2 linked regions of the Nothobranchius furzeri genome follow. The protein of the gene in region 2 binds, or shares a complex with, the protein of the main gene of each other region. Links are inferred from orthologs where the notes say so. Each region holds a gene or a part of one and is shown on either strand. Other genes may lie near its edges.

What was found.
Region 1: ints1 (region 2) and ints12 share a complex: the UniProt entries of both Homo sapiens proteins name them as parts of the integrator complex. The link is inferred for Nothobranchius furzeri from reciprocal best matches to the Homo sapiens genes INTS1 and INTS12.

The regions. Positions count from the first base shown.
Region 1 is NC_091746.1:80,674,604-80,679,054, reverse strand, and holds the start of ints12 (integrator complex subunit 12), read right to left. Parts: upstream 2,831-4,451; 5' UTR 2,704-2,830; intron 2,449-2,703; 5' UTR 2,441-2,448; coding exon 2,285-2,440; intron 1,260-2,284; coding exon 1,110-1,259; intron 898-1,109; coding exon 716-897; intron 604-715; coding exon 444-603; intron 365-443; coding exon 215-364; intron 1-214. Other genes in the region: gstcd (glutathione S-transferase C-terminal domain-containing protein), read left to right, coding at 3,205-3,618. UniProt on the Homo sapiens protein: Component of the integrator complex, a multiprotein complex that terminates RNA polymerase II (Pol II) transcription in the promoter-proximal region of genes.
Region 2 is NC_091745.1:5,274,936-5,279,422, forward strand, and holds the start of ints1 (integrator complex subunit 1), read right to left. Parts: upstream 2,923-4,487; 5' UTR 2,826-2,922; intron 2,518-2,825; 5' UTR 2,460-2,517; coding exon 2,405-2,459; intron 2,332-2,404; coding exon 2,041-2,331; intron 1,947-2,040; coding exon 1,750-1,946; intron 1,549-1,749; coding exon 1,411-1,548; intron 1,332-1,410; coding exon 1,172-1,331; intron 1,088-1,171; coding exon 982-1,087; intron 895-981; coding exon 708-894; intron 1-707. UniProt on the Homo sapiens protein: Component of the integrator complex, a multiprotein complex that terminates RNA polymerase II (Pol II) transcription in the promoter-proximal region of genes.

The sequences.
Region 1 (4,451 bases), on a different chromosome or scaffold from region 2:
AATTGGTAAATGATCCCTAAAAGGTCTTAAACTAATAAGATTGAATATATTTGACACTAAAACTGCCATATTGTCTGAATCCAAACGCAGAAACAAATCTTCTAAACAATTAAGGAAAGAAAAGGAACTGTTCCTGTTGCTTTTCTTACCTCTAAACCCCTTACTGGTTAGTAGAAACAAGACTGAGGATGTCATTTTTAATTAAAATACTCACACACACCTTCACCTCTGTCCTCTTGAAGGCCTGGAAGGTGCTGGTTGTATCGGTTTTAGCCTTCAGCTCTGTCTTTTTCACCAGCGGGTCTTTAACAACCGGTGCTGAAGATGCAGATGCAGGGGATGGTTTCTGAGGAGGCTTCTGAGCCTGGTCAACAAACAAACAAACAAACAAGTTAGTTCATCATTAAAAAGGTGATGCAGGATCGTGACTTGATTTTCCTCACCATCCGTTTCATTTGCCTGGTGCAACGGGCACAATACCACACAAGCCGTGGGTCATTCACTTCCTTATCAGTCACTTGAGGTTTGTGGCAGTCCTGGTGGTAGAGATTATGACACTCTTGGCACTCCACCAACTGGTTTCCCATGGTCACCGTCATTTGTCTGAGAGAATTAATTATTTAAAAAAAAAAGACTGAATTTCTGCTTAAAATGGTGATCTGATTAATTTGAGGGAATAACATGCTGACAAATCTACACGATTGGCTACTCGTACCTGCAAACCACGCAGGCCAGACCCATTTCCATGGCAAAGTCGTCAGCGTTTGTCTCGTCGTAGTCGTTTATGTTTGGTAGGAGGTCTTTGCTCGTCTGAAATGTGATTGGAGAGGAGCGGTTCTCTTGTTTCTCTAAACGAGGCTTTTTGGGGGGGTCCACTTCGCTCACGTCAACCCTGGCCTGTTTTTCAGCAAAATACAAAAGGAAGTTTGACTAAATCACACAAACAAAAAACACCTGATCACATATTTAAATCGGATTCTGCTTTAAAGCTTTAGAGTTATATAATATGCACTTTTCATTCATTTGTGCACTTTTACTTCCCAATTGAACAGCAACACGACACAGATTACTGGGATCATTAGTAAAAATTGGAAAAATGTCTTCCACACCTTCTCTGATGACCTCTTCTCGCCTTCTTTCTTGCCTTTCTCTGAGCTGGATTTACTACTTCCACCGCTGCTGCCAGAAGAAGAACTTGAAGACTTGGGCTCTTTACTTAAACTCAGCTTTGACACGGATGCCTTTGACACTTCCACCTCCTGAGGACAAAACAATCACACAGAAGGCACAAGCACTTGGTTTTAAAACAATGTCATACGAATGACATTAAAGAGCAAGTCAGCCCCCCCCCCCCCCCCCCCCCCCCCAAATTTCTTTCTTGCTGATAAACTATATAAATGAGTGTCTAATCATGCTGTAGACACTTGTAGTCAATAACTTGGCACTTTGGTGCATCTTAGATAAATTTAAATAATCTGCCTAAAACTGTCAGTGTTACGTCGTCTTCAGGTAAAAACTCTGCCATTGCTATTGTCTAAGAAGTACATTATGATGTCACAAAGTCATTGTGAGCCTGTGTGTGTATTTGTTAGTGGCTCCACCCCCTCGGTCTGCCAGGTAACAGCATTTGTTGCATTTTTCAAACAGGAAGTGGGAGTGGAGTAAGACTCTGGTAGGGGGTGACTTGCTCTTTAAGGGGATTTCTCTACACTCACCTAAAGGATTATTAAGAACACCACACTAATACGGTGTTTGACCCCCTTTCGCCTTCAGAACTGTCTTAATTGTACGTGGCATTGATTCAACAAGGTGCTGAAAGCATTCTTTAGAAATCTTGGCCCATATTGGTAGGATAGCATCTTGCAGTTGATGGAAGATTTGTGGGATGCACATCCAGGGCACGGAGCTCCCGTTCCACAGATGCTCTATCGGGTTGAGATCTGGTGACTGTGGGGGCCGTTGTAGTACAGTGAACTCATTGTCATGTTCAAGAAACCAGTTTGAAATGACTGGAGCTTTATGACACGGTGCATTATCCTGCTGGAATTAGCCACCAGAGGATGGGTACAAGGTGGTCATGAAGGGATGGACATGGTCAGAAACAATGCTCAGGTAGCCCGTGGCATTTGGGGTTCAGGAGATTGCCTTGACCAGGACCACACCCCAAAATGCACTGAAGCAACCGCCATGTGATTGATTGATTAGATAATTGCATTAAGGAGAAGTTGAACAGGTGTTCCTAATAATCCTTTAGGTGAGTGTATATGAGAATGAATTATCTTACTTTTTGTGAAGAGCGATAAGAGGAATCGCTGCCTCTAGCAAGGGACTCATCAAGTAGAGCTTTGAGCTTCTCAGCTGAATCTTTGCTCTTGGAATGTAGATAACTCAGTCCTTTTAGGAAGATGGGATCCAGCTCCAAACTGACAGGTCCAGCCATCGCTTCCACTAGAAATCAAACAATAACAATTCACGTAATGCTGTGAATTAGTATCATTTCATCAAAGTAAAAAGAACTGCCGGCGCCTATAAGCCGAGTCCCACCGATCCAACTGCTGTGAATGACTTTAAACATTGGCAAATATTTGGTTTCTGAGTAAAAACAGGAAGACGGACTACAACCACAGAAGCACCGCGGTAGTTACCGAGGTCGCTTTATAATTCTAAAATTGAAGCTCATAATTATCATAAACACAGGCTTACCCGAGACTGGGTGTATTTTCTGTTTTACCGGAATATTTTCTTTCTATTGAACAACGGAAAACTGAGCAACACTTCCGTCGGCGTTTCGTCTTCACATTTGAGTAACCGACAAATATGTCCGGAGTCTGCAAGGGCGGAACGTTTTGCGAAATTTGTATTCGCGTTCGCGTGGTTATTATACTATTTTGGTTATAATAAAATAAGTATTCATCCCACGTATGTTTTCCTTTGCGGTACATATTTTGTACATAGGTGTTACTCTTTCATGAAGAGAGTTTTGAAACGTTTGAGAAGACCGCTGGCGGCGCTGTGGAGCTATGCTAGTGAAAAAACAGCAGAAGAAGAATCACCAAAACACACCGGTCCGCCTGTTTCAGGTAAGTCATTTTTCTTGGGTCATATGTTGAATTTAAGTAATCTAGACGTAAAAGTACCAACAGAGAACACTAAAACAATGATAAAACTAACTGATTGTTTTACTGTCCTTCTAGTTTATTTACAATGAAGCACAACGAGAAAAAAGAGCAACATCTCTCCCTCTTCTTAGAGGTTTGTTCCCAGAACGAGGAGCTGCGTCTCCCCCTGCACACGTCCATAGTTATGTTTCTCCTATCATACTGCGAGTGCAAGTCCTTCAAAGTGTTCATGGTTTACACCAGTAGCTGCTCGGACGCTTTCAGGAGCCAGCTCCCAGTGCCTGTTGGTGTCAGCTGGGTCCAGCTGGAGGATCTGCCCCAGCTGGTGAGGAGCTGCCGTCTCCCGGCAGCGGTGGATGAGAGCGGGCGCCTGTGCAGGGCAGGACTAGCCGTGGTGCTCAGGCACATTATCATCAAAACCACTGAGGAAGACCCTTCCAGGAAGGATGTTCTGGAGCTGCTGGGTTTCAAAAAAACCTGCTTGAAGGCCTGTGCGGAGGTCAGTGGGAGACAAGCGTCAGCTTTTGGGTGTCTGGGGAAATCAGGTGTAGAGATCCACTGATATGGGGTTTTCAGATGCTGATACTGATGCTGATATATGGGGGTCATGGTCAGCTGATGGCCGATATTTGCTACCGATGTTCGCGGCCGATAACTCGACATTTTCCACCTTATTTGCATGCTTAGATGTCACTGACAAAAACATGATGCACAACGTTTCTGAACATGGATCCGTTGTTGAACTCTGAATTTAAACAACTCTTGTATCTTAATTTTTTTTGCACCGCTCGTATTAAAATCAAACATTTAGCCAAAGGTAATCGAACAAATCATAAACTGACCAAGTCTTAAATAAAAACGGGTAAACAAAAAATACTTCAGTTAAGAAGAATGTTTTTAAACATTTATTAAGTAGATCAGGAACACACACGCACATTTAAATAAAATCCTGCAGCAGCACTGGACTGCCTGTGGCTGTTTCAGTTTTTAAATCGGCCCCTCTAAACGGGTGTATCAGCTGATGCTGATTTATAAAAATATGTCGGCCAACAAATATATTGGTCTATTTCTGACGTGGAGGTGCAATTTTTACATCATAATGTAAAATTGCATTAATAGCATCTTATTGAGTTAAAAACTAAAGGCGAACCTCTCAGTTATTGCAGTTCAGAGGCTTTGTGTCCCCTCAAAGGTGATGATGGGAGCTCACATTCTCAATATCTGTAGTTTGAATAAATCAATACAAAGTCAGGCAATAAAAGTTGCAGAACTGCGTGAGGCAACTTAAAAATATGTCTAAAATCTGATTCATGGTAGGATGCAGAGTGCCAG
Region 2 (4,487 bases):
CACCATTTCAATGTTTTTTTTACTCAAATCCAAACGAGTTTGTGTTTTCATCACATTTAGCACGTGTTCAGTTTAAAATCTCCTCGTCTTTATCCATGCTATGAGAATTCTTGTTGCATTGTTTGGAAAAATAATCGACGTAAAAATTCTCTGAAAGGTTTTTATAAACAGTTTTTTTTTTTTGCACATTAAATGTTCTTTAATGGAATTTGATGTTTGAGAAGTCTTTGTTCACCTGCTATGTCTCAGGTATGTGAGGACGCTCAGAAGCCACCGCTTTGACACGCATGAACAGCAGACAAAAATATAATACCCCTTCTGATTTCACACTCCCAAAGCAGGTAAGAAAATGTTTGGTAAAGTCAGCCGCTGCTCTGCATTAAGATCATAGCGTGTTCAACGGTTTTAACATTAAAGATGAAATCTGAGCTGAAGCCAGATTGCTAGCACTAATCATTTCTGCATGTTCTGGACAGAAAACTGGTTAATAATTAGATTTAATCACAAAGTGTTGCTTATTTTCATTTCCAAACAAAATACTTGGGTCCTAACTCACCTGCACCAACGGGTGTTTAGTTAGCTTTCACGTCTGGTTTCTGGGCCAAAGCCAGACACTCCAGTTGTGTCTCCGAACTTCTGACGAACGCTCTTGCACAGCTAAGATGTGACAATGAAAAGCATCCCCTCCACTAAACCCGACTCCTCACCTTTGGGTTCTGGAGCCACATCTCCAGCCTCTGCACAGCCAAGTAGCGTGCCTCTTTGTAGCCGCACGTGGCTGTGAGCAGACGCAGCAAATTGCGAGAGACGTTGTCCATCGGCTGCCTGCGGTTCAACTGATCCCTGAGGACGTCCAGCACGTAGTCCTCCACGCTCTCGGCTAGCTCCTCGTACCTGCAGCAAACAAGGAAAAACTATTTATTTCAAACGTGAAAAAAGGAAAGTTAACTTTCAAAAAAATAAATGTTGTGAACACTCTACCTTGGCATAACCTGCCCTTCATCCTCGGGACTTAGCTTCTCTTCTGCTATTAACAACTCTGTCTGAGTGTCGTCTTCATCTGGGATGGAGGGATGAGGGCTGTTGCCTGAAAATCAGACACAAAAAACAAGCAATGGTCTAAAACTGAAGCACTTTAAACAAATCGCAGCAACTTCAGGTGAAGCTCCACCTGCGCTGAGATCTCCAGCAGTGCGACCGGTATCAGCCTGCAACAGCATACTCTTCGGTGGCATCTTGGTACTAAAAGCTGTCTGGATGTTGTCAACAAAATTCTTACAGTGACAGCTGTCGACCCAGATCCGCTCCCCCAGCGAGTCCTCGATGTACACCTAAAGAAGAACCATTTGTACCAAAACTCACTTAATCGACACATTGTGTTGCTCCAGCTAATTTCCTGAATGTTCTCACTTTCACAAAGATCTCAGGCCAGTTCTCATCCTCTTCATAGGCCGCCATGAGCAGATTGCACGCCAGGACCGACACCAGGCTGTTGCCTTTTGCCTTAAAGTTGATCGAAGCGTCGCGGCGCAGGAGGCTGCACAAGGCCTTTAGACGAGAGTGAGACATGTTGAGAATAAAAAGAACCGAGTTTAATTCCATCTGCAAAACTGAGTTCAGATGAGATTAGAATTTTTGTTTTCATTGTCGGGCGTCAGTAATAACTTTACAGCTTAAATTGTGACAACGAAATCAAATAAAACGTGTGTAATTCTACTACAGACGTCTCCACCGGACAGAAAGTCTCACCTCAATAATTCCTTCTGTTGCAAAAACATTTGGCTTGATTTTTGCCAGAAACATGAGGCTTAGGTACAGAGTGATGTCAGGCTTGGCTCTGTTCATTTTCAGCTGTTTCACGGCTCCACATAACAACCCCTCGATGTGATCATCATTTCCCTCCGACTCTGCAGCTTCAATTTCGTCCAGCAGAACTACCGGAGACACTGTAGCGAAAAGAACCATCTGTCAGAGTTACACAAAGGTTTGCAATAAAGGACGTCACTGCTAGGAGTGACAAACACAAAGCTGTTGTTTAACCTTCAATAGGTACAACTGATGGCTCCTTTATCGAGGGTGATATAGCCCTCTTGTCCACTGCTGCAACATCAGCCAGCCGTCCCAGAGCACTGACAGGAGGGGTGGTGGATAATTTGGATCGCTTGGTGAGGTTGGACAGACCCGATGAGGGTGGCAGGGTAGACGGGGGCTCTCTCTTACGGTCAGGAGGTAAACCTGTGGACGCTGGCTTCAGGAGGGCTGGAGGAGGTTTGGGTTCTGCAGCCGAGCTCTTTGAGCCCAGAGCGATAAAATCTCCTGGTGGAGGATGACCTGAGACAGACAGATGTCACGTTTACGCCGGGTTCAACGAAGGCACGGCTCATTGTTGCTTAACGGCTCAAACCTGAAGTTTTAGCAGTACTGGGGCGTCTCACAGTTGTCGGTTTAGCTCGATTCATCTTTACAGGCAGCTGCTGCAGGTCACACAGGAGTTAACATGCCTTGGTTTGGATGAGCCTAAAAACGTCACAAAAGCACTTTATTATACATAGCTGTGCCGTTTTAGACCCAGACTAGCAGAAAATAGATGTTGAGTCTAATTAGACAGCGCGTTGTACTTATAATTTATGTATTACATACAGAACAAATATAAAAGACGCACAAAACCTTGGCTAACACTGGCAAGCGTTAGCCACCGGAGCTAACTTTCCAGGAAGGAAAGGTTAAGCTTTAACAACAGACAGCGTAACGTAAACATCTTAAAGGTATGTACAATGTATCATACTCTCACAAAAGTATGAATTCAACGTAAAAATCTTACTCACAAATAAAAATAAAAACAAAACACGAAGGACTGTCGCTGTGGTTCTTATTCTGTTGTATGAAGTCGCCGCCGGTGGGAGCAGACTACCGCCATCAAGTGTCGGGGTGAGGTCATGAACAAAATATAAGGATCAACCAGGGAACAACCGATGGGAACAACTTATTTTCCCCCGTTATGCATCATTTATTGTTACTTTGTGTTGTGTACGTTTTTTTAAACAGTCTACCAGCTTTTTCAAAGATGTATCAGCTGATGTATTCCACCAGCTGAATATTTTACGTAGAAATTATTTAACGGCGGAAACTAAATAACATTCTGGGTCACCTGATGCTGATACCTGTCCTTATCCACAACGTCCAGCAGATGGCAGTGTAACCCCCACTCTCTTTCCACAGTCACAGCTCACACAAAGTAGAACAGACATTATTTTGTCTTGTTTTTGCTCCGAGAAAACCTACAGGAGCTCCTGATAAGTTGCTGAATGAGTTATATCTACTAAAATAACTTTCACCGTGTGTGCGCACGGTCCCGTTGCTACAGTTACGTCAATTGCAACATTATGTATCGAGTCGTAGTATGACTTCCGGTAGGTGTCTTCAAAATAAAACATTTGCGTAAATAGTGCTTATCTAGGTTAGCCACTAGAGAGCATTAACATTTAAATACACATAAGAAAACTTATATAATTTTCTTAAATTTAAAAAGCAAGTGCATATAGTAATTAAAGTTTTCACTTAATACAATTAATCAAATGTAGACACTTTTTATATAAAATGATATTTAAATATGGTTCATTGAAATGAAAAGCTTTCAAGAAAAGTAAAGTATCTCAGAATAAAGATGTCAACACTGCTGCAAAAATGGTCGTCTTGCAGCAGCTTCTGAATAACCTTTCTTTTACTTTGTAATCACAGTGAGTCATGACAGGGATGCACCAATATGAAAATTTTGGGCCCATATCCGATATTACCGTTGTTATGGCCGATGACCGATATTTTCCAATACCAAAATAGATTTACACGCTGACATGTATGCTTCTGAAATCATGAGAGTTTGTATAGACTGAAAATTATACAAGCTGAATTTTGGAATGTTTCACTTTATTTCTATAGAGTGCAGCAAACTATATGTGTGTGCGAGTTTATTTTACTGTATTCACACACCACACCGATTTTTGCTTCTGAGATGATTACCATCCCTGTCACATGACTAAACAATTACACATCAGCGCCCCCTCACCCTCTGAAACAAACACACAAAGAAAGATAAGATGGAAAAAATTATTAGTTGTTAATATCGGCACAGTTTTACTTTACTTTACTTACTTTGATATGTTAAAAAATGACCATTATTATACTGTGCATCCCTAATGACTAACTGTCATGGCACCATTTAAAGTTCAGTAGGTCAATGAAACAAATTGCCAGATGTGGTAAATGCTAATTTAAATATTACACATGTACACAGAGAAATAAACAAGACATATTGTAATTAGATTGTTTTCTTTTTTGGTAAGTTCATCATGTAAAAGTTAAAGATTTTATCACGCTTATATATTGTCAAAATTCACAATCTATATTTCTAATTTTTATCTATCCATTCATCCATCCATCCATCCATCCATCCATTTTCTGAACCCACTTGTCCATGTAGGGTAGCGAGG